Elephas maximus indicus: one gene and its partners. The protein of the gene in region 1 purifies or fractionates together with the protein of each later gene. This does not show direct contact. Links are inferred from orthologs where the notes say so. Each region holds a gene or a part of one and is shown in the gene's direction. Other genes may lie near its edges.

Region 1 (9,822 bases):
CAGTAGTAGTAGCTGGGCACCTTCTAGTTCTTCTGATCTTAGGCTAATGGAGGCTGTGGTTCGTGGGAGCCATAGTCCTTTGGACTAATTGCTTCCTTGAGTCTTTGGCTTTCTTCATTCTCCTTTGCTCCAGATGGGAAAAGAATAATAGTTGTGTCTTAGATGGCTACCAGCAAGCTTTTAAGACCCCGGAGGCTACTCACCAAAGTAGAATGTACAGCGTTGTCTTTATGATCTGTTATGTCGATTGACCCTCGAGACTATGGTCCCCAGCTCTCAAGCCCCGTAACTCAGTCCCTAGAAGTGTCTGGTTATGTCTAAGAAGTTTCTCTGACTGTGCTCCCTGTGTGCGCCATTGTGTATATGACTATACATGCAGTACATACGAATATGTATGTTGAAATATCCACAACTTAAGTCCATGTATGCATGTGAGTGTACTCGCATATGCCCTCTCATACCTATTCAGCATACATATCTGCCCACGTATCCACTCATAAATTATTATTACTATTGTTACACAGTTGTGTATGTTGTAGTATTTAGCATAGTGGCCTTATATTCTTTTGTACCTCTCAGTGTCTATCTTTGCCTTGGTCATGTTGTGTTGACTTCCTCCATACTGTATATTGCTTTCCTCTTCATCAAAGTTAACATGTGTCTACTATCTAGCTGGTGGTGTTCTCTCTCTCCCCCTTCCATCCCTGGTAACCATCAAAGAATGTTACTTCCTGTATGTAGATTTTTTGAACTTTTTATGATAGTGGTCTCATACAATTTGTCCTTTTGTGATTGACCTGTTTCACTCAGCATAATGTCCTCCAGATTCATCCATGTTGTGAGATGTTTTGCAGATTTATCATTATTCTTTATCGTTGCTTAGTATTCCATTGTGTTTACGTACCACAGGTTTTTTTTTTTTTTTTTACACATTCATCCTTTGATGGGCATTTAGGTTGTTTCCACGTTTTTGGTATTGTGAATAATGCTGCAATGAACATGGGTGTGCTGCATATATCTATTCTTGTCATGGCTCTTATACCTCTAGGATATATACCTAGAAGTGTGTCTTGGTCACCTAGTGCTGTTATAACAGAAATACCACAAGTGGATGGTTTTAACAAAGAGAAATTTATTCTCTCACAGTCTAGGAGGATAGAAGTCCAAATTCAGGGCGCCAGTTCTAGGGGAAGGCTTTCTCTCTTTGTCAGTTCTGGAGGAAGGTCCTGGTCATCAATTTTCCCTTGGTCTAGGAGCTTCTCCACACAGGAAACTTGGTCCAAAGAATGCACTCTGCTCCTGGTGCTGCTTTCTTGGTGGTATGAGGAGCCCATTCTCTGAGTCCATCTGAGTGGCGACTCCACCCTTTAAGACCCCAGAGGTCATGGCCCTACCCTTTGAGACTGAGGCAGCTCAGCTTCCTGTGTTCTTTGTCTCTTCAGCTTGTTTCCTGGTTTCTTGGCCTCTCAGCCCTTCGGGCCTCTCTGGTCATGTCTGCCCTGCTGGGGCAAGTGTTCCAAAGCTCTGTGGCTCCACTGATAAGTGCCTAGAGGCATCCCACTCTGCCAGTAAACTTCAGCTGTAAGGCACTCAGCTCTCTTGCTCCAGGGATTGGCAAGGCTAGTTCCACCAATACATGTCTGGAGGCACCCATTCTGCCAGGAAGCTTCCTGCCAAAGGTACTCAGCTCTCTTGCTCTGTGGGTTGGCTCCAGTGCCATCTCCTGCTAGTCTCCTGGTTATACCACTGCTATGTCTCTGCTGCTGCTGGTCCTCTGCTGCTGCCAGTCCTCTGCTGCTGCTTCTTGCCATCCATGCCATCTCCAGAGTAACAGCTTTCTTTACTTCCTTCTGAGTCCTCACCAGAATTGTCTTTGATGTCCATAATTCCACCAACAGTCTCTTCAGGCAATCTTAAAATTCTTCCAGCCTCTACCCATTCAGACTTTCAAAACTGCTTCCACATTGTAGGTATCTGCTAGAGCAGAACCCCATTCCTGGTACCAAATTTTGTCTTAGCTAGCTAGTGCTGCTACAACAGAAATACCACGAGTGGATAGCGTCAACAAAGAAATTTATTCTCTCACAGTCTAGTAGGTTACAAGTCTAAATTCAGGGCATCAGCTCCAGGGGAAAGCTTTCTCTTCTCTGTTGGCTCTGGAGGAAGGTCCTCGTCATCAATCTACTCCTCGTCTAGGAGCTTTTTAGTGCAGGGACCCCAGGTCCAAAGGATGCATGCTCCTGGCTCTGCTTTCTTGGTGGTATGAGGTCCCCTTGTCTCTCTGCTTGCTTCTTTCATATCCAAAAAGTTTGGCTTAAAACACAATCTAATCTCGTAGATTGAGCCCTGCAACATTAACATAACTGCCACTAATCCCATTTTATCTACGTCACAGAGATGGGATTTACAACACATAGGAAAATCACATCAGATGACAAAATGGCGAACGATCGTACAATACTGGGAATCATGGCCTAGCCATACCGATACACATATTTTTGGGGGGATACAATTCAATCCATGATGTTGTGGGACTGCTAGATCATATGGTACTTTTATTTCTAGCTTTTTAAGGAAGCGACATACTATTTTCCACAGTAGTTGTACCATTTTACATTCTGCATGGATCTTGTTGGCAGTTTCCTGTCTACTGAGAAGCTGTTTTTGTCTTCATTCCAGGTTGGAGGGACTGGTAGTGATGTTAAGACTATCCAGAGCATCAGCCACTTAAGGCAGGTTCCTGGGGTGAGTGTTTTGGGGTCTCTCTGCAGTGAAGGAGAGGGGAGGAGAAAGGGTAATGTGTGGTAAGCAGCAATATGGACCTCTGAATCACATGGAGACTGGAAGTGTTGAGCACCTTCTTCACACCACATTCTCATTTAAACCCTGGTTAATAATCACAACAACTGTATGAAGGAGATGGTATTGTTTAACTGCATTTTATAGATAAAAAAGCTGGCTAGTGTAGCAGGGGCAGGGGTCTGGGGATCATGGTTTCAGGGGACATCTAAGTCAATTGGCATAATAAAATCTATTAACAAAACATTCTGCATCCCACTTTGAAGAGTGGCATCTGGGGTCTTAAACGTTAGCAAGCAGCCATATAAGATGCATCAATTGGTCTCAATCCACCTGGATCAAAGGAGAATGAAGAACACTAAGGACACAAGGTGATTATGAGCTCAAGAGACAGAAAGGGCCCCACGATCCAGCGACTACATCATCCTGAGACCAGAAGAACTAGATGGTGTCCGGCTACAACCGATGACTGCCCTGACAGGGAACACAACAGAGAACCCCTGAGGGAGCAGGAGAGCAGTGGGATGCAGACCCCAAATTTTCATAAGACCAGACTTAATGGTCTGAGACTGGAAGGACCCCGGTGGTCATGGCCCCTAGACCTTCTGTTGGCCCAGGACAGGAACCATTCCCAAAGCCAACTCTTCAGACATGGATTGGACTGGACAATGGGTTTAGAGGGATGCTGGTGAAGAGTGAGCTTCTTGGATCAGGTGGACACTTGAGACTACGTTGGCATCTCCTGCCTGGAGGGGAGATGAGAGGGTGGAGGGGGTTAGAAGCTGGCGAAAAGGACACAAAAAGAGAGTGGAGGGAGAGAGCAGGCTGTCTCATTAGGGGGAGAGTAATTGGGAGTGTGTAGCAAGGTGTATATGGGTTTTTGTGTGAGAGACTGACTTGATTTGTAAACTTTCACTTAAAGCACAATAAAAATTATTAAAAAAAAAAAAAAAGAAAGCTGGCTAGTGACCTACCAAAGGTCACAGAGCAAGTGCTGGATCTGTGATCTGAATCTCCTCTCTAGGGCTTCAAAGCCTTTCCACCACTGTGCATAAGGATCCACCAAGATTTCAGGTCCAGGATGAGTCATAGTGTGCCCTCCACTCCCACATTTTTACAAGGTGAAATCTGAGTAGAATGTAGATCTAATAAAAAGGGAAAAGAGGGCATAGACAGGGAATGTGGAACCAGAGAGGTGTGTGAAGAGTGCAGTTCCACTATTTTTTTGTCTTAATGAGATATCCCTTAGGTCATTTTAGAACTTGTATCACTGCCTGCCTTCCTGAGTCCTCATCCTTACCACAAAGACCCATTTCCTCCACTAGACAAAAATGTGGTTGGCTGGCCCAGTTCTATCTCAAATAATGATTTCGAGAATCAAATAAGGCCCTTTGCATACTAGCACTTTACAAACTTGTAAGGGAGCAGATATCTTTCCAAGGTATCAGGGAACTGTGAAGCAGCTGATTAAAATAAATTCTTGAATATTTGAGATACAGGAAGGTAGAAATAATATCTGGTATCTGGACTCCATTGATACAATCTAAAGCCACATTCCAATCAGCAATATTAATCTTTCTAAGATTTGCCTCTTTATAAAAAGAGAGAGAGAAAAAAGGGTGTGTGTGTATGTGTAAAATACTAGTAAAGAACGTACTGCCACGGAATAGATCCAGATTCATAGTGACCCTATCTACAGGACAGAGTAGAAATGCCCCATAGGGTTTCCAAGGCTGTAAATATTTATGGAAGTAGACTACCACATTTTTCTCCAGCTGAATGGCTGGCTGGTGGGTTTGAGCCACCGACCTTTCCGTTAGCAGCCAGCGCTTTAACCACTGTGCCACCAGAGCTCCTTCAGATACTAGTAAGATTAAATTTCATCTCCTTTTGAGCCCTGTCCACACATTGATGGAATTAGGGCAGAACAAAAAGATCAAGACAAAAAGCCAGAAAGAGACATGTATACATGGCCCCTGCCAATTAATACCGTGGTAATTTTTTTTTTTAAGGAAACGTTATGGGGGAAAGACTTCACATTATCTCTGGGGACCGCTCTGGTTCTGAAGATTCCCTGTGACAACATCCCAGGATCTGACTCCCCAGGGCTCCCCCCAGTGGAAAGGGAAAGACAAAGGCGTGCGTGGCCGGGCGCGCGCGTACGCGTACACTCACGTGTACACACAGATACACACAGACACCCGCGCGCACTACACATACACACGGCCCATTTCCTCCGCCTCCCTCTTCCCTCCAGAGGGGGGGTCTCTTTCTCTTTAAAGAGCAGACGGTCTCCTCACAAACCCAGGCTCTCTAAGGCCCCGGGGGCCCGGGACCCGAGTCGGTCGCAGCCAATGGGCGCGGTGGAGAGGCTCGAGCGCGGCTGACGCTGCGCCAATGGGCGGCCGCGGGGGGCGGGGGCAGCGGAGGAGACACTATTGTTGATGAGGAGGAGCGGCGACGGCGGCTGCTGCACCACCTCGTTGCTGCCGGCCGCGGCCCGAGCGCTCCCCCAGCACCCCGGAATCCGTTGTCGTCACCCCGTCGTGTGGGCCTTTCCTCCGGCCTCGAGAATCCTCCCCCTGCAACACAACAACAACAAAACCCCCGTCTCGTCCAGTCACCAGGGAGGGGGAGCCATGTCCCAGCGGGTGAGGCGCAATGGGTCCCCCACGCCGGCCGGCTCCCTCGGGGGCAGTGCGGTCGCCACGGTCGGGGGAGCCGGGAGTCGTCTGCAGCCCATGAGGGCGACGGTTCCGTTCCAGCTGAAGCAGCAGCAGCAGCAACATGGCAGCCCCACGCGGAACAACGGCGGCGGCGGCGGCGGCGGCGGCAACAACGGCGGCTGCTGTGGTGGCGCCTCCGGCCCCTCTGGCGGCGGCGGGGGCCCGCGTACCGCCTCGCGCAGTACAAGCCCCACGCGGGGCGGCGGGAGCACGGCCGCGCGCACCAGCCCCACGGTGGCCACGCAAACGGGCGCGTCCGCGACGTCCACGCGGGGCACCAGCCCCACGCGCGGCACCGCGTCCGGGGCTCGCGGGAGCCCCCCACGGCCGCCGCCGCCGCCGCCTCTGCTGGGCACCGTATCGTCGCCCTGTTCGTCGCCCACCCACCTGTGGACGGGCGAGGTGAGCCTGGCCCCACCCCCAGCCCGCGTCCGGCACCGGAGGAGATCCCCGGAGCAGAGCCGAAGCTCCCCGGAGAGGAGAAGCCCGAGCGCCCCGGTTTGCAAAGCAGGTCCGTGCCGGCGAGGGGGCGGCTCGCGGCGGGAAAGGGTCCCGGGCGCTCGCGGATCCCGCGCCGGGACTGCGGCGCTGCCGCGGAGCCCGGGCAGCCGGGGGCGGGGCCGGGTGGGGTGTGTGGCCGGGGGCGGGGCCGGGCCCGGGTTTGTGGCCCCGCCGCAGCCCCGGCCGCCCCGCGCCTGTCTCATTCATGGCTTAGCCGGGCCCGCTTCGGTCCTCGGGCGTGGAAGTGCCTGCCCTAACCTTGTGCTTGGGCTGATACGTGTTAATTATAAACCCGGGCTCCTGGCCGCCCTGGCTGTCCACTGACTATCGCTTAGCCTACTTTTCTTTTTCTCTTCCGCAAGTTGGGGTGAAACTAGGAGTGGTTTGTCACTTTGTTTTAGTGACATGGTTCATGTTAGCATACTACGTGTTTGCTGCTACGTGTTGGTATTTGTCTTCCACAGAACAGTTTCAGATCTGGGGGACGAAGGACATTATCTTAGGAGGGCAGATCTGGATCAGTGAGGAGACTTGAGGGTGGCAGCGTTTTAGCATTTCCTAAGACTTGGTAAAATGGGAAGCAAGAAGTGAGAAGGAAGTTAAAAGCAAGATTCCTTTGGATGGTTTATGGGTTTTGTTTCAGCGTCTGGGAGTATTTCAGACATACTGGTTTTGCGTTTAGGATTTAAAACCATTTATCTGAATATCTACTTAAAAAAACAAAAACAAATTCCAGAGTCTGTCTCCCTCTTTTACTATTTTAGGGATCTAAAAACTGTTTTGTTTGTTTTCTTTCTGTACCGGGAACTTTAGTGAGAAAAGTCCAGAATAGAGATGTGGATTCCGATGGAGTCATTCATAAGGAAGGATAACTGAGCGGAGAAATTCAAACTATGAGAAGTGAAAAGGGATAAAATTTTATCACCTGGCTGCCTTGCTTTGAGAATCTAGTGATTAAAGAAATGGGTGGTTTTTAGTTGTGTATTAATACTGCCAATGTACACTACCGTTGTCTTTCTGGAGAATTTGCATTAGAACCTTCACACAGAAGATTCAGAAGAATTTCAGAAAATTCAGTAAAGTACTTTTCTAACCAAAACAGACAGGGTGGCTGCAAGGAAATGGAGAGAGTAGTATGTCTTTCTTACAGTTTATTTTATGAAAGATTTTAGACAATGAATACTTTTTTGAAGAGAATTGCTCCTGAAAAGTGATCAGTAGTTTTTTCTCATAAGAATACTATTTTAAGTCTTTTGAGAATGCGAAATGCTTTTTTTCCACTTTGATTGTTAAAAGTACTAGAGCACACCCCCCCAACACACACACCATGATAGCTGTTACCTACTGAGCTCTTACTATATGCTAAATGATTTATATACAAGATTTCATTTTGACCCTAACAACAGTCTTTAGAGAGGTTGAGGTTTGAACTCTGCTTGTTGAAATTCCAAAGTCTGTATCTTTTACGTTATGTCAAGGAAGTAGTTTCATGATGTTTAAGACAGAACCTGAAAATATATAGGAAAAAAAGTATAAAAATATATATAAAAATATAGAGCACACGAAAATCACATGTGTTTAGTTTTTTGAAGGAACTGTTTAGAGATATCTGGTGAAAACATTATTGCTTTAGTTTGCCTTTGACCTTCTGGAGCTAACGTAGCATGGCAGGTGGAGAGAAGAACTTCTGAAGTGGGCAGTCGAGGCGGAGGAAGGAGATGGAGACCTCAGCCTGATAACAGAATCTGGCTACTGTCTCAGCTATTTGACATTCTAAACAGAGCAGCAGCTTGAGGAGAGCCAGGTTGAATTAAGTCTTGGAAATGATGGTGGATGGAGGATGGCATTCCTTCCCTCTGATCTCCAGGAGGGCTGTATTTCCTGTGATCCCAGGCTTCTCATGTGCCCACTCCTCATGTTTCTCAAAGCTCCCCACCTCCAGATTTGTCATTCCATGGAGTGTTCGTGTTGTAAAATTAATCCTGCTCAAAAAAGCAAATACAGAAAAATAAAAATACTCCTTTAGTGCAGGACTGTCAACTACGGGTGAAAAGGGATACTGCCTGTTATTAGTGTAAATGTCCGATAGTTTCCCTCCCAGGAATGTATTCTTGTTTCATCCTAGTGAAATTCTAGGCCGTGTGGGATGAGGTGTTTTCAAATTCCAAGTCTTCATAGAATCTATTAGACCATTTGCTGCGTTTTGTTAGACCAAATCTGGAAGGAGAAAAAAGGGAAAAACCAGACTCCCTTTTTGATTAAAGGAAGGTTACTGCCTGTTTGTGGGGGTGGGGGGTGGGGTGGGGCAGTAGTGGTTCAGTGTTAGAACTCCTGCTTTCCATGTGGGGGACCTGGGTTAGATTCCTGGCTAGTGCACTTTAAGTACAGCCACCATCCATCTGTGAGTGGAGGCTTGTGTGTTGCTATGATGCTCGTCAGGTTTCAGCCAAGCTTGTAGACTTGTAGACTTAAGATGGACTAGGAAGAAAGACCTGGAGATTTATTTCCAAAAAATCAGCCAGCGAAAACCCTGTGTATCACAACAGATTGATCCCATTGTGCATAGGGTTGTGATGAGTCAGGGTAGACTCAGTAGCAGCTGACAACAGCACCGGAAGTTTGTAGTTTCAATAAAATGTAGTAATCCTTACTGTAGAGGAGAAGGATCTACTGCATGTAGTTCTGCAAACCTCAAGCTGTAAAATGGTTGATAATAATATCTATATTATGATAAAGATTAGAGAATGAGAGAAAATTGAAAAATACACAGAACCAAAACCAAACTCACTGCTGTCATGTTAATTTTGACTCATAGCAGACCTATAGGACAGAGTAGAACTGCCCCATAGGGTTTCCAAGGCTATAAATCTTTATGGAAGCAGAGTGCCACATCTTTCTCCCACAGAGCGGCTGGTCAGTTTGAATTGCAGACCTTTTGGTTTGCAGCTGAGTGCTTTAACCATTGCACCACCAGCTCTGCCAATACTCAGAACAATACCACGATATATAAGTTAGCTATTGTGTGTCATACTAGTTTTCTTTCTAGTTTTAGTGGATGTAATATAAATTGCCTGTGTAGGCTCAGTTTCTACGGTTGTGTGAAATTTTGAATTGGGGAAAACATGGCCTGTGAATGTCAGAACATTTTTTTCACAATGGGTCTATGGTTCATCTGTATCAGAAGCACTTGAGAGTGCTTGTTAAAAAATGCAGGTGGTTCCCAGGCCATAGCACTTAACCACTATGCCACTGTGGACTCATAGAGGAGTGTAATTTGTAGGGAATGGGTATAGAAGTTCTGAGGAGGTGGCTTTTGATTGGAGTTGGAAAGGGTGGAAAATAATTTTGTAGTTGGATCATAGAGGTATGAAAATATAATTTTCACTATATTTGGAGCCCTGGTGGTGCAGTGGTTAAGAGCTTGGCTGCTAGCCAAAGGATAAGCAGTTCGAATCCGCCAGCCACTCCTTGGAAACCCTACGGGGCAGTTCTGCTCTGTCCTATAGGGTCACTATGAGTGGGAATCAACTCGATAGCAACAGGTTTGATTTGGTTTTGGTTTATATGGGTTAAAATAAAGGGCACAAGATGTTGGGGAGGGGAGATACGGAGCCCCAGAAGAAGTAGGTAGAAAGATGTTTTCGGAATGCCCTTGAATATTCTTAGGAGCTTAGAATGTATTACATGGTTAATAGTATGTGTTCTAGAGCCAGACTGCTAGGGTTTAAATCCTGGTATTGCCACTTACTTACTGGCTGTTTAACCTTAGCAAGCTAACTTTGTAGTCCCTAGTTGG
Region 2 (9,757 bases), on another chromosome or scaffold:
TGCTACTTATCCAGAATTACATAGAACCAAATTTAACTACATATGACCGAGTAAACTCAAAAAATTATTATAAGGTTTATATGTGAATATTGCTGACATTTAATGTTTTACTTTCTAGAATAATTACTTGAAAGCCTATAGTCCTCCCTTATGTTGCCCATACTGACTCCACATTGTTCAACCTCAACTATTAAAATACTATTACAGGTTAAAGAAGTCTTTGATGACCAGAAGTCAGACACTCAAAATCCACCTAGCTTTACCCCATGTCTTAGTTATCTAATGCTGCTATAACAGAAATACTGATGGCTTCAACAAACAGAAATTTATTCTCTCATAGTTTCAGAGGCTAGAAGTCTGAATTCAGTGTGCCAGCTCCAGAGGAAGGCTTTCTGCCTTTGTCAGCTCTGGGGGAAGGTCTTTGTCATTAATCTAGTCCTGGGTCTAGGAGCTTCTCAGTGTAGTGACCTCATGTCCAAAGGATGTGCTCCACTCTTGGCTCTTCTTGATTGGTAATAATGAGGTTCATCTCCTCTCTGCTTCTCTCTTTTATATCTCAAAAGAGATTGACTCAAGATACAACCTAATCCTGTAGATTGTGTCCTGCCTCATTAACACAACATCCTCTAATCCTGCCTCATTAACATGATAGAAGTTAGGATTTTTGACACATAGGACAATTGGATAAGGTCACAAAATGAAGGACAACCACACAATACTGGGAATCATGGTGTAGCCAAGTTTACACACATTTTTTGGGGGGTACATAATTCAATCCGTAACACTCTGGGAGACTATATATATGTATATATGCATATACATACATATATATATATATACATACACACATTTATTAGAAAAGGTACTAATCAAGGACCCATTAGAACCCCATTGAAAGGGACCATACCTAGACTTCCTCACCAACTCGTGTGCCCCCAAAACTAGGAGTCAAACCCTGAATCCATCTATCACAACTGAAAAAAGTCCATGCTGCCTCTGTAGACCAGCTAGCCCTCTAAAGCTAAAAATCACCTTGAGACACTCTGGAGGCCAGAAGTAGAGGACATCCAAGGTAGGCAGCTAATCCTAAGATCACAGAACAAGATTCCATGCATCTTGCTCAACTTTGTGGCCTTTGTTTTATAATTGTAGCTATCCTTATGCTGCTAGCATTACTCCATACTTGTGGCCTTATTCCTTAGTAATTTTATTCAACATGAAAGTCCACTTAAGTTTTATATTTCTCTTTGTAGTAATTTCTTCTCCTTTTTTGATATCTTTAGTTGGTTACCCAATGGCATTGGTTCTTCGTTATGCTCATCATTAGAAACTTGACTAATTCTTCTGATCATTATGTTAATTATAAGACTGGTTAAATGCATCATGAATTATATATCTAACTTTTGCAGTCACACCGCCAGACCCAAAGTTATGCAAAGTATATATATATTGAGGAGGTTCAAGTTTCTGGAACTTTGAGCTTGTGCCTTCGCAGTTTGTCAGCTTGCGTAATGCTGAGATATTCCTCTAAAAAATTTGGCCTTTCTACTCCAAGCTCCCCTTACCATCAGTTCAGGAGGAGAGTGACTAAGCAATGGCATAGTGCAGATACTAGATGGTGCCTGGCTACTCAGTAAAAGCATAGCAGCATCTGGGGCCTTAAAATCTTGAAAGCAGCCATCTATATTACAGCACAATTTAAAGACCATGCACAAGAAAGGGCTGTCATAATGGTCTTTGTGATTTAAGAAATTCTATAAATTCTTGATCAAAAGGGGGGAATGATAAGTAGCTTCTAAAATCAAACAGAGGCTCTCAGCTAGGCCAAAATGGCTGAGGACTCAGATCTCAATAAAAGGTTTGTCCAGATTACTAAAGAGGGGGATGATAAGTAGCTTCTAAAATCAAACAGAGGCTCTCAGCCAGGCCAAAATGGCTGAGGACTTGGATCTCAACAAAGGGTTTATCCAGATTACTCTGAGTAAACAGGGGAGGGAGACAGAAAGGAAAGTAATAAATGTGCTTAGAATGTTACAGGAAACATGTGACACAAATTCAATGTCCTTGGAAAGAATGCTTTTCGAAAATTGTCTCTTAGGCTGAGATTAGATTAACTGATATGAAGAGCTGTTTTTGAAATGTTTATGGGATTATAGGGACAACGACTTGATGACAATGGGTTTGGTTTTTGGTTTTAACTTTGTGTATAAAAGCTCAATTTTGTCCCCAGAAAGATGGAGCGCCTTGTTCTCTGAACGAAGTGCTGCCCAATTTGCAAATTGTATCTTGCCTCAATAAACTCCTTGCTTTTACTTCACAAACTCTCAGATTTTACTCTTTGACATAGCAATTAATTTTGGCTCATTTAATATAGTGGTTAAGTACTCAGATCCTAACTGAAAGGTTGGTGGTTTGAACTCACCAGCTGCTCTACAGGAGAAAGATGTGGCAGTCTGTTTCTGTAAAGATTTACAGTTTTGGAAACACTGTGGGGGCAGTTCTGTTGTGTCCCATAGAATCTCTGTGAATCGGAATTCACTTGTTGCCAATTTTTTTTTTTTTAGTGTTAAGGGTTACAAATGCCTAAGTGATTAGACAGAAGCATAACCATGTAAAGGGGACGGAGCAGGGACAAGAAAAGGAGGAGGAAGTTGGCTGTATAAGTGGAAATTTGATCTTGGGTAAAACCAAGGTAGTGATTGCTCATCTGTATAAGGACACTCTTGGCCACTACCTCTTCCTTCAAAACAACTAAGTACAATGTGGATGTTAATTACAGTACCAGGGTAACTTTGAAAAAACTCAGCAATCCAGAAGAACTTTTGTAGTTTTTTGATACCCTGAAGAATCAAACTGAAGTAAGCTATTTTTGCCTGAATATACACACTATTTAATGTGGTGAAAATATACACAATAAAACATTCACCAATTCAAGTTTCTACCTGTACAACTCAACGACATTGATTACACTCTTTAGGTTGCACTCCTCTGTGCCCATTTTCTTCCTAATTATCCCACCACCCTTAACATACACATGCCTGAATACTTTTTGCCTAATTTCTTTTACGTTTAATTTGATTTCTTTCAGGGCCTGTACTAACTTCAATGATTACCTTAGCGCATCAATTGGTTTGTTTGTTTTTTTTTTTGGTTTTGTCAATGTTCTACTAACTGTAGAAACAGAACATTTGTTGCAAATCTTTTTAAGCAAACATCTTTCCTTGAGTCACATACATAAGATAGCTATCAGTATTTATTACAATACTTTTTTTTACACCTAATACTGTTTATATGTTGCTACCGTACTTGTGAACAGCTGAAGGCTCCTATAAGAAAAAACGAATATGATCACCATCATAAGATGGCAAAACCGAACTTAGAAATAAATCAGTATATTAGCGACTTTTGGTACAAAATAATATATAAACTCTTCTCAGCTGAACATTAAAGGCCCTTATATTACGGTTGGTACAAAATACAATTTTTAGCCAGTGGCTGTCTCCTAATTACAAAGTAGCCAGCATGACATAGCTTGGGTTTTAATGCCTGGGGAGCACACCTAGAAATATTTAGTCAGGCAAAACAAAACCTGAATGCAAGCCAAAATAGTAATAACTGTTCTGATTGTCAAGGTAAGTGGGCAAATTAAGTATCTGGAAATTGAGAAGGTACATTAAAAAAAAAAAAAAAAAGGAGTCGAACGACAAGGACATAGTAATAGCACAAAAGGATTAATCTGAGGGGCATTTCCATGGAGAAGCCAGGCTGTACCCACAGAAGCGGGGAGGGGTAAAAAAGAAGGCTCGAAATAGATGGGGAAGCATGGGCGGAGCGTGCACTGCCTAGAAAAGTTTTTATGACAGCTACGTCCATAATTCTTGAACGTTGGTATTGGTTCCTTAAAAATCTGAGCGGCATGATTTAATCAAGGTGTCAGCCGCAGGGACATCCCTGATTCCGGGGAAGCGTCGGAATTCCTGAGATGTCTGAAGTGCGGAGGCGGCCTCCACCCCGCCCCCACCGCGGCCTCCGTGGGCATTTTCCGGCGAGGGGGGGACGCGAGCCCTTCAAAGAACACTTTAAACCCATGGACGTGTGCGCCGGGCTGCTCCCACGCGGCCGCCGCGCGCCCCGGGAATAAAGGCGAACACCTCGTCCGGACCGCGGTGAGAGCCCCGTGGACGGGCGCCCGCGGGGGGGCTTTCTGGGTCCCCTCCCCCATCGGCGCCCCTCCCCCCGGCGCGGGCGGGGCCGCGGGCGCACGACGCGGAAGCGCGGGGCTCCGGGGGCGGTGGCGCGGAGCGGGAGGGCGCGCGCTCTCAGGGCCGCAGTCGGCGCGGGCGCGGCGGGCGCGGGGGTCGGGAGGCGGCGGGCGCTCGCGCACAGGCTGGCCGCCGCCTCGCCCCCCTTTCCTCCCTCAGCCCGTCCGTCCCCCCTCTTCTTCCTCCCTCCCCCGAGCGAATCACGCGCCCTCCTCTGACACTCGTAGCGGGCCCGAGCTCCGAATTTATCCTTCACGTGACCTGAGGGGGCTGGGTGGTTGGTTGGGGCCGGAGAGGGAGAGGGAAAGGAGGGAACGGAATCTGCCGTTACCCGAGCAACAAGCCCCGCCCGCCGGCTCGGGGACGGGGGGCGGGAGGAGGACGTCAGCACGTCAGCCGGGGTTTTGCGTTTTGATTGACAGTTGCTATAGCGACCGGATCGGTCCGCCGCCATTTTGTTGGTTGGTTTTTTTTTAAACCCTTTCGCTTCCCGCCCGAATAATAATAAAAAGCCCCATTGGAGTGAGGCGGGGGTGGCGGCGGCAACAGCGGCGGGGGGATCCGGGGACACTGCTGCCGTTGCTGCTGCCGATCGTGGCCCAAGTCGGGCGCGGGGAGCGGACACCCCGAGCGGGGGGTGAGGGTGCCGCCGCCGCCGCCGCCGCCGCTTCTGCTGCTGCTGTTCCTGCTGCTGCTGTTGGTGCCGCTGCCGCCGCCGGCGAGCGGGCGGGACCGGTGTGAGTGTGAGAGTGTGTGAGTGAGCGTGTGTGAGGACGAGTGTTCGTGCGTGTGTGTGCGAGTGTGTGTGTGAGTGTCTGTCTGTGCGGGCACTCGGGGGCGGGCGGTTCGGGCGCTCCTGGCGGAGAAGCCGCCGCTGCCGCCGCCGCCGCTCGGGCCCCGGCGCTTCTCGCTGCGCAGGTTTGGAGCGCGCGCCATTTTGTGAGATTTACAAAATCCTCTTCGGGAAGAAGCAGCCGGGAGCGGCCGCGACTAGGTGCCCGGCCTCGCCGCCGCCGCCGCCCTCCTCGCCGGGCCGGGCCGTGCGGCCCCGCCGCCGGGAGTCGGGGTCCGGGGACTGCGGTATTTGCCGGGGAGGGGGCTGTCGCCTCCCCGGCCCCGGGCGCCGCTGGAACCGAGAGCCGGCGAGAGACTGAGCAGACTGCGGCGCGGGCGAGGAGCCGGGGGCGGAGAGAGGCGGCCGGGGTGGCGCTGGCTGCGGAGGCCGCGGCGGGAGCGCAGCGGCGGGAGCCCGAGGCTGAGACTCACCGGAGGGAGCGGCGCGAGCACCCCGCCATCGTCCCGGTGAGTGTCCGGCCCGGCCGCGGCCCCGCCCGGTCCGGCGCTCGGCTCCCCCCGCGGCCTGTAGCCGGGCTCGCGCCGAGGCCGGCCGGGCGGAGGGAGGGACCTGCCATTTTAGGAGGAGGCGCCGCGGGCCCAGGCCCGGCCGCCGGGGAGGGAGGCTGCAAGGCCGGGTTTTGGAGGAGAGGCGGGTGCGAGTGCAGGGAAAGTTGCGGAGGGCGGGAGGAGGGGGCCGCGGCCTCTCGGGAGCCGGGGCCTTAGGGGCCGGAGAAAGCGCCAGACCTTTACTGGTCGCCCGAGCCGAGGGGAGGAGGTTGTCTTCCTCCTCCTCCTCTTCCTCCTCATCCTCTTCCCCCAGCTCCTCCCTCGTCCCTCCTCTTGGTCCCCACCAGTGTGGGAACCGCCGGGGTTCTTAGCAAGGACAATGCCTGGGTTAAGAAAATGGGGCTGGTGCTGGGCGAGGCGAGGACGGCGGAGCCGAGGTTGGGCGCCGGGAACGTCGGGAGCCCGATCCCTCACAACCCGTTGGGGTCGGTGCTGGAGGGAGTGGGACTCGGCGTGTTCTGAAGTTGTGCAGTGACTGCAAGTAATCCGGCCACTCGAGATGCAGTAATGCCCTATTCAGCAGCTGGAGGAGTTGGTGACTGGGAAGACGTGAATTATAATTGATACCTGTGTTTTACGACATAACTTCACTTAGCTATTTATAGACTCTAACTCACATTTCTGCTGAATATTTATCTCCACACTTAGCAAAAGGCTCCTCCATATTCTGAAATAGTTAAAAAATAGAAAAATTAGCGAGTGAGTGCCTCTGACTTCTTGGCTGTGGTTTTCATCCACCCGGAGGTTATAGGAACCCTGTGATGTCCGTATAGCGCTTGAGTGCCAGCACGACTTGATTATTGAGTTTTGCCCGAGTTGTCAGGAAAGATACGTTATAACGTTATTCTTACACGGAGTTGAAGATGAGGACGAGTAGTGCCAGGTGCCTCTCTCTGGGCTTTACATGTTATTACCTCGCTGATCCGGCCAGGAGGAACTGCTGCCCATTTTACAGATGAGGAAACTGAGCCGACAGAAGGGCAGTGACACGTCCAAGGTCAAACAGCGGGAGCATGGAGTCTGTAGCGAGCCTGTGCTCTTAACCGCCGTGTTATTGTAAATCATTATGAATACTGGCAAATTTTGGAACCATTTGTGTGTAATGACTCAGGATTCTAACGTAGAGATTGTCTCTCTTTATAGTGTTTAGAATGGGATTGATTTTGTGGTTTGTGGAAGTGGAAGGGAAAGGTTGACATGAGGTCCTCTTGATGAAACTTGTCAGTTTTTTTTTCAAGAAAATTAGTTTTAGAATGGAAGGAATTAAAAAGTATTCTTAGGTGTGTGGTGTTCTTGATAATTATAGGCATCATTTAAGTATTGATGAGTCATAAAGTTTTGTGTGAAGTTATTTTTGGTGATATTTTATATTTAAATAAATATTTTGGATTTTTTCTGTGACATTTTACACATCTAAAGTGTCTAAAAATGAATATAATTAGTACTTTGATTTTGGGTACTTTAATAAGTAAAATTATTTTTAAGTTTTGTTTTCTTAAATTTCTCATTTGGTTATTCCATTACTTTAAAAGAATATTTTCAGATAGACTAAATGTGAGACTAGGATTAATGTTTCATGTACTAGGGTTTTAAATTGAAGATAGTTTTAAAGAAACAGCAGTTAAGAAAAACATTTGCTTGATTATAGTTAAGCTTTTTAATGTATCCCAGTACTTTTGAAGGATCTGCCTTGAAGTAACAGTAGTGTTTACGGTAGCTGTCCAAATTATTTAGACTTCAAACCTAGCTGGAGAGCTTAGGACTCTTGTCAGTGTCTACACTGTGTTCTGTTGTAAACCTGGGCATAAAAAAGTTCCTGTTTACCTCAGGGAGGCATGAGCTCAAAAATTATTCTAGAAGGGTCTTCCCTTGTGTCTGTAAGGCGAAGGCATACTCTTATTTCTGGTGGTGTTTAAAAAAGATTTTAGATTTGAAGGAATAGACTTGAATGGTAGGGGTGGGGGTGGGCTAAGTGATCTGGTGAGATCTCTGTTATTGTTAAATTGTTTAGGATTTTGAAATTTAGGAATAAGATGGTTTCTTAAGGTATTTTGAAGACATTTCGATGGGACCTGTTAGAAATTTAATAAAGTTATTGTACTGTGCATTTAAAAATTAACAAGTAATCCAGTCTTTTAGGTGCACTGTCGTTCAAAATAAGTGGAAATATTCCATTTTAGTGCAGTGTCTTGTTTGGAAGTGTGGATAGTAAAAAAGACCCTTGGTTAGAATTTTTTTAGTCTCGATAATACTGCCTGAAGCCTGTTCCTTGGTTTTATTGTGAGTTCATTGTATTTATGACTTATAGATATGGGGTAAACTGGGGAGTGGTAAGTAGAACAAATTGTATTTGAAGAATTTCCATGGATTTTTATAGTTCTATGAATATCTGGAAAAGTGAAATTGGAATAACTTGTTATGAACATGTCTAAAATGACTATTGGCACTCATTTTGTTTAGTAACCACACCAAGAAAGAAAAATGCTCATTTGCATTGAATCTTGGGTAGTAATTGAAAACCATTTTTTTTTTTTTTTTTTAAGAAATAGTTTAGAAATTGAGACTGCCTATAGGTGTTTTCACATGCATGCTTATGTTTGGCAAGTATCTAGTTGTGGGAAGAAAATTTGGATAGAAGTAAATTTACTGTGGGTGAGAAAGGAATTGCTTTTGTATAAAAACCAAAAAAAAAAAAAAAAAATCCCACTGCTGTCGATTCAGTTCCAACTCCTAGCGGTCCTATAGGACAGAGTAGAACTGCCCCATATGGTTTCCAAGAAGCGGCTGGGGCATTCGAACTGCTGACCTTTTTTTTGGTTAGCAGACATAGCTCTTAACCACTATGCCACCAGGGTTTCCATGCCTCTTTTATGACTTTAAAAATAAGACTGGTAGAAGATAACCCAGTGCCTGAGGGCTTGGTAATTTGTGACTCCCTTGGTATTTGTGATACGATGTGTATCACTTTTTCTTTGCTTTGCCCTTAGCTTTTCTCTTAAAAGAGCTTTCCCCATCTCCTGCATATACACTCAGCCCAATTCCCTCACCCCAAGAGAAGCCCTAACCATCCAAACCCAGCAGAACCCAAACTCTTCCAGAAACAGTCTTCATAAGGAACTTTGCTCCTCACTCCAGAAATTTTACCTGTCTTGTAATTTTGTTGTATGCCTTATCAGTAATTTAAACTGTGATCTAAGGTTCTTTCCTGTTGAGGAGTGCTTTAGTGGTTTTATCTCCATACACACTTGTAAATTTTGTATGTAGAAGTAATGGTATTACTTGAAACTATGAAACATGGTCACTTGAAACTTAATACTAACAGCTTGCCCTATCAAAATGAATGGCATGGTTTGTGTAATAGCACCTTATGTGTACATAGTAGTTATGCTCTTTATTTTTTTTCCCATGTGTTATCATGACTGTGGAAACCCTGGTGGCGTAGTGGTTAAGTGCTATGGCTGCTAACCCAAGGGTCAGCAGTTTGAATCCGCCAGGTGCTCCTTCGAAACTCTGTGGGGCAGTTCTGCTCTGTCCTCTAGGGTCACAATGAGTCAGAATCGACTCCACGGCACTGGGTGTGTTTTTTTTGGTTTATCATGGCTGTTGGGGGCAGTTTTGTGGTGGCTAGAGAAATTATAGTAATTCTTAACACAAGACTTGAATAATTTTGGATTAAAATTATTTTGGAGTGAAAATTGGCATTTAAATACTTGGAAAAACCATCAAAGTAATTTAAATTACCTGAAACTTCTCCTCAGGTGCCCCCAAATAAAGGATTCTTCTTTTGAAATCTTGTCTTATGTCAATGCTATAGTTTTAAGCTAGAGTTGTAAAGTTTAGCCTTGGGTATGTAAACGTGAAATATTGACTGCACATGACTAAGATAATTTAAGGTTCATACTGGTAATTGAAGAGAAGTTTTGTTTCCTAATCTAGTGTTTACGAGGGACCTTAGTTTTCTTTTTGGGTATATGAAAACAAAATGATTTAGAAATATTGGATTGTATAAATTAGCTAAATGTTTTTAAAAAAGTTTTTGCTTTTACTTTGAAAATCTGCTTTCAGAGTTCCATAACTAGTTAAAGTGGTTT
Region 3 (10,180 bases), on another chromosome or scaffold:
GAATCCATCATCTGCTCCTTGGAAACCATATGGAGCAGTTCTCTGTCCTGTAGGGTTGCTGTGAGTCGGAATCGACTTGATGGCAATGAGCTTTTGGGTGGCACAGTGGTTAAGTGCTTGGCTGCTAACCAAAAGGTCAGCCGTTCAAACCCACCAGCTGCACCTCAGGAGAAAGATGTGGCATTCTGCTTCCATAAAGATTTACAACTTGGCAACCCTGTGGGGGCAATTCTCCTCTCTCCTCTGGCGTGGCTGTGAGTCGAAATCCGCTTGACGGCAATGGTTTTAAGTTCATTTTAGTTGTTAGTGATACCGTGTTGGATATGGTTTTCTGGGACTTGTTTTTTTCACTTGACACGATTCTAAGGTTCATCTGTGGTGCTGTGTGTAGCTGTAGATCGTTTTCACTGTTTATTACGAATAGTCCCCATTTTGTTTAGCCATTCTCCCGATGAGCATATGGGTCGGTCTGGGTTCTTCTTTTGCTGTGGATATTTCTGGACACGCGTGCACGTGTTTCTCCAGTTTCTCTCCTGAGTGGAATGGCGAGGTCTGGGATTCTTTAGCTTTCAGGCTTCATCAGTGACACTTGCTTCTTTTTCCACCACAGGCTTCAGTCCCCGAGGGGGCGGCTTCCGAGGCCGAGGGGGGTTTGGTGACCGAGGCGGCTTTGGCGGTGACCGTGGCGGTCGCGGGGGCCGAGGCGGCTTTGGTGGGGGCCGTGGACGAGGAGGAGGCTTCAGGGGCCGTGGTCGAGGAGGAGGAGGAGGAGGAGGAAGAGGTGGTGAGTAAGATTGGTTGGTGTGATGGAGGAGGCTTTCCCTGTACTTGGGGAGCGGGGAGTGAAGAGACCGGGGGCCTCTCTCTCTTACTGCGTCTCTCCTTTATAGGCGGAGGAGGGTTCCAGTCTGGTGGCAACCGGGGTCGTGGTAGGGGAGGAAAAAGAGGAAACCAGTCAGGGAAGAATGTGATGGTGGAACCTCACCGGCATGAGGGTGAGTGAGGAACGGAGGGAAGCAGCTGAGGGGTGGGGCGGAGTGGTGGGGTCCCAGTCCTCACCCTTGTTCTGATCCCCACACCCAGGTGTCTTCATTTGCCGAGGAAAGGAAGATGCACTGGTCACCAAGAACCTGGTCCCTGGAGAATCAGTTTATGGAGAGAAGAGAGTCTCAATTTCGGTGAGACGCGGGCCCCTGTCCAAGGCACCAGGGCCCCAGCTGTTGGTGCAGCCAGCTGTCTGGTCTCCCTGCTTCTGCACCACACCCCATAGCCGTGTGTCTTGCACTTGACAGCCAGGCAATACTCCTAATACGTGAGTCAGGCCTCACACGCCTCTCCTCACATGCCTTCTGTGACTCACGATTGCCACCATGTCATAGTCCCAAGTCCTTACTGTGGCCCTGTGTGTTCTAGCTCCCCTCCACAGCCCTTGGTCTCTCATCTCCTCCCCCTGTCCCTGACCAAGTGCCCTCCAGCTGCACTGATATGCTATTCCCTCCCGCCGGCAGCTCTGCTCGAGGCTGGCACCGGCTCATCATTCGCGACTGTGGTCAAGTCACCTGTCTTTCTGACGGATCCTAGTGTCCCTTGCCATTTCCTTTATGGCCAGGCGCTCTCCTGCCTCAGTGCTTCCCGCCTGCCTCCCCTCTCCCTGGAATGCTTTTCCCCAGATAGCCTGACCGGCTCCTCATCGCCTTTAGGGCTGACCCAGACACCTTCTGCACAATGCACCTTTGGCTCCCCTTTCTCGTTTTCCCCTTCCCTTGCCCTACTTCCTATACTTCATGTCTTCTTCCCGGCTTTGTCCTCTCTCCTTTTCACCTGTCACCATCTTACTGTGCCAGGTGTTTTTTTTTTTAATTTAGTTAGCTCCTTGTATACTTACTCTTTGAGAGCAGGGATCTTTGTCGTGTTCACTGTTGTATTCCCAGTGCCTAGATCAGGGGCTGGCACGCAGCACAGTAAGCGCTTGCTGAGTGGTTTTGCAGGCCTTACCAACCTGAGACAATCTCGGTATCTCTGTGTTTATCGTCTCTTGCCACCCCATCTCCCTGAGTTGTTAACTCCACAGTTGCATCTGTCATGGCCACTGCTGCATACCCACATTCATCACTTGCATAGTCATTAAACGCCCAGTCGCTTTCAAGGCCCCAGGGTAAGGGGCGTGGGGCCTCAGGGAAGAGCCCAGCACTGATTTCCATCCCCGTCTCTCCTGGTCCAGGAAGGAGACGACAAAATTGAGTACCGCGCCTGGAACCCCTTCCGCTCAAAGCTGGCAGCAGCGATCCTGGGTGGTGTGGACCAGATCCACATCAAGCCGGGGGCCAAGGTGCTTTACCTTGGAGCTGCCTCAGGCACCACTGTCTCCCACGTCTCTGACATCGTAGGCCAGGTAAGTGGTGAGGCGGGCAGAGGGAAAGGCTGCCTCCTGTTGGCACTATTGTGGAGTCAGGCATGGGCGCTTCCCCGCACTGTGCATGGAGCCAGGCCCTGCCCTCTGACAGCGCCTGTGGGTAGAAATGGCTGCTTGGATTAGATGGCCACCAAAGCCTCATTCAGCCACACTCCTGGGTTCTTAGCCTTGAAGGAAGGGGTGTGGGAGTCAGGGCAACCAGAATAAAAGGGGCCCAGAGCTGGAAGTGTAGATAATCAGATGAATTGATTGGTCTCTTTAAAAATTCATGCTCCCCCCAATCTGCTTCTCCAGTTTCTCTTGATAGAACAAGAATTCTGACGCTATTGGGCTGCATTGCAGTGTGTGGGTACAGGCTCCATCTAGAGGCCCCTGTACATCTCACTTCATGGCCTCTGCTCAGTCACATGGTTGCAGGCAGTGTAATGTCGAGCTTGGCCACTTGCTGAATAGCCCTTGAGCATTGACTTCATGCCTCTGGACCTCAGTTTACTTGTCTATAAAATGGGCACGATAACAGTAGTCATTTAATGGTAGGGTTTGATTTTGGGGGATTTGAAGAGATGCTGCATGCAGCGCGTGGGTCCCAAGTAGGAGTTCCGTAGATGAGAATTAGTATCGTTTGTTATCACTTGATTTGTCCTAGGATGGTCTGGTCTATGCAGTTGAGTTTTCCCACCGTTCTGGACGTGACCTCATCAACCTGGCCAAGAAGAGGACCAACATAATCCCTGTCATTGAGGACGCTCGGCACCCGCACAAATACCGCATGCTTATTGGTGAGGGCTCTGGCAGTGGCCCAGGTCGGGTAGGACAGGCTCTTCAAGAGCCAAGTTTTCTGGGAGAGATCATCTGAGCCCTGATTCAGATGGAGTGGACGGACAGGCCTCTTGAGTCCGCAGGAATGACAAGGGGTGAGGGAACTGGGTGAGATTGCAGAGGTGGCGGCCCAGCTTCAGGGTCTGGCCTCTCCTCTCTCTGAGCTGCCCCTCCTTGTGCTTCGCACCTCCTTCCAAAACATGGTACCTTTATACCGCCCCTCTTTGTGTATAAACATGGTGCTTTTATACTGCCCCTCACCTGTGACTAAAAGCGCCCTCCAGGGGCCTCCTTGTCTGGTGAGGTCATAACCATAAAACACCAGCTGGGCATGGACCTGACCCGGAGGGGCCTGGTGTGAATATTGACTTCGTTTAAAAAATTCAAAAGAGGTCATTGATGAGAACAATTGGGTACGTGCTTTTCCTGATTCTTCAGAGTCAGTTTTCATTACACCACCTTTTCAGTTTTTTAAGTGTTGTTTTTTCTGTTGCTGTTGTTTGTTTTAAATCACACTGGTTTAAAAACATTACTTTTTCATTCCCTTGTTCTTCTTTCTTTTCCTTTTCCACACACCCATACCATGCCCCTGTCCTGCAACTTTTCATTGACAATGCTGCAGACGCCCTTGCCTGTCAGTGTTCACCTTCACTTGCCTTTTTGATGACTTGTGTGTCCACCTCCCCTACTGCCCCAGACCCAGGAGCGTTTCAAGGGCAGTGCCAGGGTCTAACTCGTCTCTGTGCCCCCCACGCCCAGCCTGGGGCTGGTCACAGAGTAGGTGGCAACCATGGTTTACAAGAGTAGAGAATAAGTGATGTGACCGTGGGTTTTGGACCCACCTTGGGGGCACTAGGGCGGGGGGAGGGGGAGTCAGTGGCAGGGGAGTGAGACTGGAGGCAGGGAAATTGCCAGGTACCTGCTGGCAATGGGGCATAGGCCCCAGGGGGGGATGGGAAGATCTCCCTGTGGGCCCAACATTTAATAACTGCCATTCCTCTCTCCCTAGCAATGGTGGATGTGATCTTTGCTGACGTGGCCCAGCCTGACCAGACCCGGATTGTGGCTCTGAATGCCCACACCTTCCTGCGTAACGGAGGACACTTTGTGATTTCTATTAAGGTGAGAGTCTTGTGGAAGTCTAAGATGAGTGGGAGCATCCCAAGGAGTCTTCCGTGTCTGACAAGCAGCCAGTCAAAACAAAGAGGCCTGCCTCCCCTCTAATCCAGTCAGTCCATTCCCAAACTCTGTTCCTATGCTGGCTTCCCACTCCCCATGAAATAACACGTAGTATAAAAAAAAGTCCGTAAAACTAAAAGCTTTGTATTTTAAGAGGTAATAGAGTATAGTGGTCAAGGGCATGGTTGCTGAGTTTGAATCCCACCATGCTGTGTGACTTGGAGCAAGTCATTCACCTCTGTGTGCCTCTGTTTGTTCATGTGTAGAACAGAGATGTTAGTCTTATCTGTTTTAGGGCTGACGTCAGGATTAAATGTATCAGTATCTGTGAAGTGTACAGACAGAGCCTGGCGTTGAATAAACACTAGGCAAATCTAAATGTTAGGTGCATTTTTTAAAACTTTTTATTCTGAAATACAGAGAACTCTGCTGTGGACCCTTTACTTAGACTCACCATTTGTTACCCTTTTCCTGTATTTGTGTTGTTCTCAAAGCTGTATTATTACTCTTTTTTTAATGGAAGAAGGAAAAAAGCTGGGGTATAAAACTTAAAGCTGGCTTTTAGGTAAACAGGGTTTTGTTTAAAGCCTTGGGTCCAAATTCAAACAAACTACATAGCAACCCTGTAGGACAGAGTAGAACTGCCCCATAAAGTTTCCAAGGAGTGCCTGGTGGATTTGAACCACCAACCTTTTGGTTAGCAGCTGTAGCTCTTAACCACTGTGCTGCCGGGGTTTCCTAAATTTGTTATATAACGGAAATTTTCCCCACGTTTCCAAAACCCTGCCATACACCACAAAATTCAGACCGGTTGCCATTGACTCCGACTCGTGGTGACTCCACGTGTTTCAGAGTAGAACGCACTCCATGGGGTTTTCAGTGGCGGTGATCTTTTTGCTGCAGAACAGTCAGAAATGATACTGGGGTTTTGTTTGGGGCCTGATTTTACCCCGTTTCCATCGGAAACAAGTCCCTGTGGTTGAAAGAGCACAAAAAAGGGGAAACCAGCCCGCAGTCCTGCGGCGGACTCGATTCCGTCTCCTCCTGTAGGCCAACTGCATTGACTCCACAGCCTCTGCAGAGGCCGTGTTTGCTTCTGAAGTGAAGAAGATGCAGCAGGAGAACATGAAGCCCCAGGAGCAGCTGACCCTCGAGCCATACGAAAGAGACCACGCTGTGGTCGTGGGTGTGTACAGGTGAGCAGGGCCCAGTCACCCACCGGATCGTGCAGCTCAGGGCTCCGGGGGCAGGCTATGACCCCTCGTTTTCTCTCTCCCTCTCACAGGCCGCCCCCCAAAGTGAAGAACTGAAGCCCGGTGCTGTCTGCATTGTGAGATAGTGTTGTTGCTGTTGCACGTGTGTTTTTCTATTAAAAAGACTCATCCGTCACCTCAGTTGGCTGCTGGTCGCTCTGTGGCTGCCGCTGTAGACAACTTGGCGCATGCGCCCATGGTCACCTCGTTGGGGGCGGGGGCATGCTCATCTGATCACACAGCGCATGCTCCATTTCTAGCTGCCCTCTCAGGGAGCCCTGGTGCGCAGCCGTAACCCGGAATTCGGCGTTAGGTGGGGTCGGTGGCTCACTGCGCATGTCTGCGGGTAGTGCCCACTGGGCGCAGGCGCGGAGGGCTGCGCTGGTCACGTGAGGGGGAGCGGATGGGGGGGTGGGGGCGGAGTCTGGAGGGGGGCCGGTTTGTTGTGGTCGCCATTTTGCTGGTTGCATTACTGGGTAATCGGGGCCCTGGCTCGCCGCGTCCGACGGGTACCTTCAGCCAGTGGGCAGGTCTGAGCTCGGGCTTCCCGAGCAACTTGAGTCCCCTTGCCCGCGCCCTCAGGTAACGACGCAGTGACTGGCTGGGCGGCACGAGCTGGCGGGGAGGGGGAAGGGCGGGACCCGCCCTGCCCGCGTCGCCTCGAGACTGAGCACAGGGACGCGGGAGGAGGAGAGGAAGGGAGGGGGAATCGGGCTGGTGTGCCAGCCGAGCCTGGCTATTCATAGTCGGATTCCTGGAAGGGGCTGAACCGAGGGAGCAGTCTTGGAAGGGAGGTCGGGAAGGGGTGGCTGGGCCCCGCTCCCGCCCTTTGTTTGGGCTCAGCTCCGCCGGCCGCATCGTCGTCGCCTAGCAACAACTGCCCTGGGCTGTGATTGGTTGAGCTCGTAGCAGCGGTGGCCAATGGTACGGTTGTTGCCATGGCAGGGTGCGGACTGCCAAACTCAGTCTTGCCCCGCCCGCTGGGTCTCTGCAGGCGGGGCGGGCCTCTAGGGTGGGGGGCGGGACGCCAGGGTCCCCAGGGGCGGGTGGCCGCCCGGGGTGGGGTCGGCCTTGCGAGGGTTAACCCGCCCTTCCCCCCATCCACCTGCTTTCCCTTCCCCCGCGTGCCCCGAGCTGACCCTCGTCCCCTCCTCTCCCCGCCCCTGGCGGCGGCTGCTGTTGTCACCCACCGGGCCGCCTGTCCCGCTTGCCCTCCCCGCCGCGGGGCCTGCCGGGCCGCCCAGGCCAGGGACAGGCGGCCGCCTCCTCACTGCCGCCACCGCCGCCATGCTGGCCGTCCGCCCGCCTCACTGGGGGCCCCACCGCGCTCCAGCCCCCCGTGGGCCGCGCACCAGCCCTGACGCGGGTAGGGGTTGGAGGGCCCCGGGAAAGAAGTTGTTTTGGAGGGGGAACCTTTAGGGAGGGAAGCTTCAAGAGACGGGGTGTGTTCATGGAGTGGCAAGGCCTGGGATAGGAGGACACCTGACATGGTTAGACTTGGGGAGAGGGACTTTGGTTTGTCGGACCCCCTGGAACACCCTGCAGTATTTGGGGAATTGAGCTTTGGGAGTCTCCTAAGAAGGGGCATCGCTGTGGGATGACCCCAGTATAGAAAGAGGTGACAGGAGATGGGGCTCCAATGGGAACATTGGGTAGAGGGAGGATTCATTATAGAGGAGAGAAGGAAGATCATCGTAAGCCACTGGAAGAGACACCTCCTCCTTGTTCCCCTCAGGAGAGCGGGCCTTGATTGGGAGGGGGACTTTGCAGCAATGTGGGGAAGAGTTCTGATGTGGTGGGAGGAACTGGGATACGGTGTAGGGAGACTATCTGGAGGAGTGTTTCCTGATGTGGGAAGGCCTACAAGGGGAACAGATCTCAGCATGAAGTACTGAGGGTCTGCTGGGAAAGATGTGCCCTGGCGGGCTGCCACAGAGATAGGACTTTTGTGATACAGTTTCTCAGATAATCTTGGTGTGGTTGGGAGGTCTCCATAGGACCCTGATGTGGATTTGAGGGACCTGCAGAGGACACTACTGTGATTTAGGGGAACTCAGAGGACTCTGGTGTGGTTTGGGTGGACTTCAGAGTTCTCTGGATTGGGGGAGCTACTGGGAACGGTAGATCTTGTAGTGAAGGGACCTTGCTGTGATAATGGGATGAGATCCTGATGGTTGGGGAAGATTATAAGGGGGCAAGATTTTGCGGAGGGGGCCCTGGGGAGGGCCCAAGTAGAAATGGAACGAACAAACCCTACTCCCCATACTGTCTTTAGTTTCTTTTTTTTTTTTCTCTTTTCCTCCCCTCCATTATCCATGTCTTTTTGTTCTCCTTCCCTGTTGTGGCCTATACACCCCCACCACCACTCCCTGCTCTTGCATCGCTCCTCCCCGTTCCTTTTGCATGCCCTTGTCTTTGTTCCACGTCATTCACTTACTTGGTCATTTGTTGAGGGCTTCTGTTGTGTAACCCCTTTCCACCTGTCTGCTACTGCTTTCTGTCTCTTCTCTTCATCGCCACCTGTGTTCTGTGGTACCCTTTTCCTCCTCCGTTTGAGTCCCTGCCTTCTGTCTGTGCCCACCTCTTTCCTGCCTGCCACTATCCCACATATTCTCTTGTTCCATGTTGTTCCCCTGCCTCCTTGCCTTCTCCCAGGTCTCAGCGGCGGTGGCAGCCGAGGTGCAGGATGCGAGAAGGCGCCCCCCGGCCGGGCTCCCGCTCCAGGCCTCGCTCCCCTGCGGCCCTCTGAGCCCACCATGGCCGTCCCACCGGGCCATGGTCCCTTCTCTGGCTTCCCGGGGCCCCAGGAGCACCCGCAGGTACGCGTTTGGCTGGCTCCTTACCTGCCTGGGGTCGGGGATACTGGGGAGAGAAAGGTCTCAGGGCAAAAGAAACAGTATGATTGCCTGACAGTCTCCTTAGGGTGTCAGGGCCCCATTGGGAGTGAAAGTTAATAGAAGAGGCATCGGCAGAGTTAAGGTATGAAGAATTCAGTCCATGTCTTGACTTTGTAGTTAAATTACTTATGTCCCGTACACTTCAGTTTTGTCATCTGTAAAATGGGGCCGATAATGATGATATCTGTCTCACAGGGTTGTTGTGAGGATTAAACAAGTTAATGAAATGCGTGTGCGATGGTAAGAACAGTGTCTGGCACGTAGTAAATACCAAATATTCACTAAGGAAAAAAGTCCTGAGTGAAAGATCTGGAGGGAGTGGGTGGGGAGGAGGGCTGAGACTGAAGGGCTTGGGGACCATCAGGATAAAGACCTCCAAGGGTAGAGGTGGCTGAGGCTCTGGAATGTAGAGCTTGAGCAGGATGGAGTGGGAAGTCTAGGCTGCAGGACCCAGATTCAAGATCCTTGTGAAAGAACTAGGTACAGATGCTCAGTGGGGGGTAGGTGTTGGGGGAGCCCCAGTGGGTGAAGGTAAAGCAAAATGGGGGGAGGGGGACCCAGACTGGGATATCTAGATGGAGAGTCTCAGACTGAAGGATTGGGGGACAGAGGCCTAATTTCCCATATGATCTTTCCCATTGACTCTGAAAGCAATAAAGTTACGGGGTAAAAGGTCAGGGGTAAATAACCATTCGTTCACTCCACAAATCCCTATTGAGCATCCACTGTGTGCCAGGCCCTGCTCAAAGCACTGGGGTATAGCAAGAACAAGACAAAGTCTCTCCCCTTGTCAAGTTTATATTGTAGTGGGCGAGACGGACTATGACCAAATAAATTCCTGACTAGGGGGTTCTGATGAGCCAGTTGCCCATATGGTTCTCCCCCTTGGGGTCAGAGGTAAAGGATTTTGTCTGTTCTCAGTGCCCACCTGACACCCCACCCTGTAGGTATTGCCTGATGTGCGGCTACTGCCTCGGAGGCTGCCCCTGGCCTTCCGAGACGCGACCTCAGCCCCACTGCGCAAACTCTCTGTGGACCTCATCAAGACCTACAAGCACATCAATGAGGTGGGCAGAGGTGGGGAGCCCCAAGCAGGGGACCGGGGGGCCCTGGCCACTGATTCCGGTTGCTCACTGGTCATCTGGTCGCCTGGCTGGGCAGGTATACTATGCGAAGAAGAAGCGGCGGGCCCAGCAGGCGCCGCCTCAAGACTCAAGTACCAAGAAGGAGAAGAAGGTCCTGAACCACGGTTATGACGATGACAACCATGACTACATCGTGCGTAGTGGCGAGCGGTGGCTGGAGCGCTATGAGATTGACTCACTCATTGGCAAGGGCTCGTTTGGCCAGGTGCGGGACACCATACCCCCCCCGGGGATTGGGGTGCGTGGGGACCCACTGACAGTGGCCCACACACCCAGTGGCTTCAAGAGCACTGGGGCCATTCACCCAGGCCCAGTCACTTAGTTTCCCTGTGCCTCATTTTCCTTTTCTGTAAAATGGCACAAATAACAGGACTTAACCACATAAAGTAATTTCATACCTTCTGTCTATATCGCTGCCTAACTGATAGTAAGCACTCAAGTGTAAATGCGTAGTGGTAGTGTTGGTGGGTCCTC

What was found.
Region 2: the proteins of FAM117B (region 1) and DYRK1A purify together in Homo sapiens (affinity purification with mass spectrometry; 8 studies listed by BioGRID and IntAct, counting the BioPlex papers as one, with this or other methods). This does not show direct contact. The link is inferred for Elephas maximus indicus from reciprocal best matches to the Homo sapiens genes FAM117B and DYRK1A.
Region 3: the proteins of FAM117B (region 1) and DYRK1B purify together in Homo sapiens (affinity purification with mass spectrometry; 3 studies listed by BioGRID and IntAct, counting the BioPlex papers as one, with this or other methods). This does not show direct contact. The link is inferred for Elephas maximus indicus from reciprocal best matches to the Homo sapiens genes FAM117B and DYRK1B.

Annotation. Positions count from the first base shown.
Region 1 is NC_064824.1:101,401,992-101,411,813, forward strand, and holds the start of FAM117B (protein FAM117B), read left to right. Parts: upstream 1-5,219; 5' UTR 5,220-5,243; coding exon 5,244-6,036; intron 6,037-9,822.
Region 2 is NC_064820.1:219,102,443-219,112,199, forward strand, and holds the start of DYRK1A (dual specificity tyrosine-phosphorylation-regulated kinase 1A), read left to right. Parts: upstream 1-5,473; 5' UTR 5,474-5,564; intron 5,565-9,757. UniProt on the Homo sapiens protein: Dual-specificity kinase which possesses both serine/threonine and tyrosine kinase activities. Exhibits a substrate preference for proline at position P+1 and arginine at position P-3.
Region 3 is NC_064829.1:111,686,735-111,696,914, forward strand, and holds the start of DYRK1B (dual specificity tyrosine-phosphorylation-regulated kinase 1B), read left to right. Parts: upstream 1-6,099; 5' UTR 6,100-6,951; coding exon 6,952-7,030; intron 7,031-8,319; coding exon 8,320-8,483; intron 8,484-9,508; coding exon 9,509-9,628; intron 9,629-9,722; coding exon 9,723-9,911; intron 9,912-10,180. Other genes in the region: FBL (rRNA 2'-O-methyltransferase fibrillarin), read left to right, coding at 611-784, 891-995, 1,084-1,178, 2,222-2,392, 3,060-3,192, 4,242-4,354, 5,462-5,607, 5,697-5,721.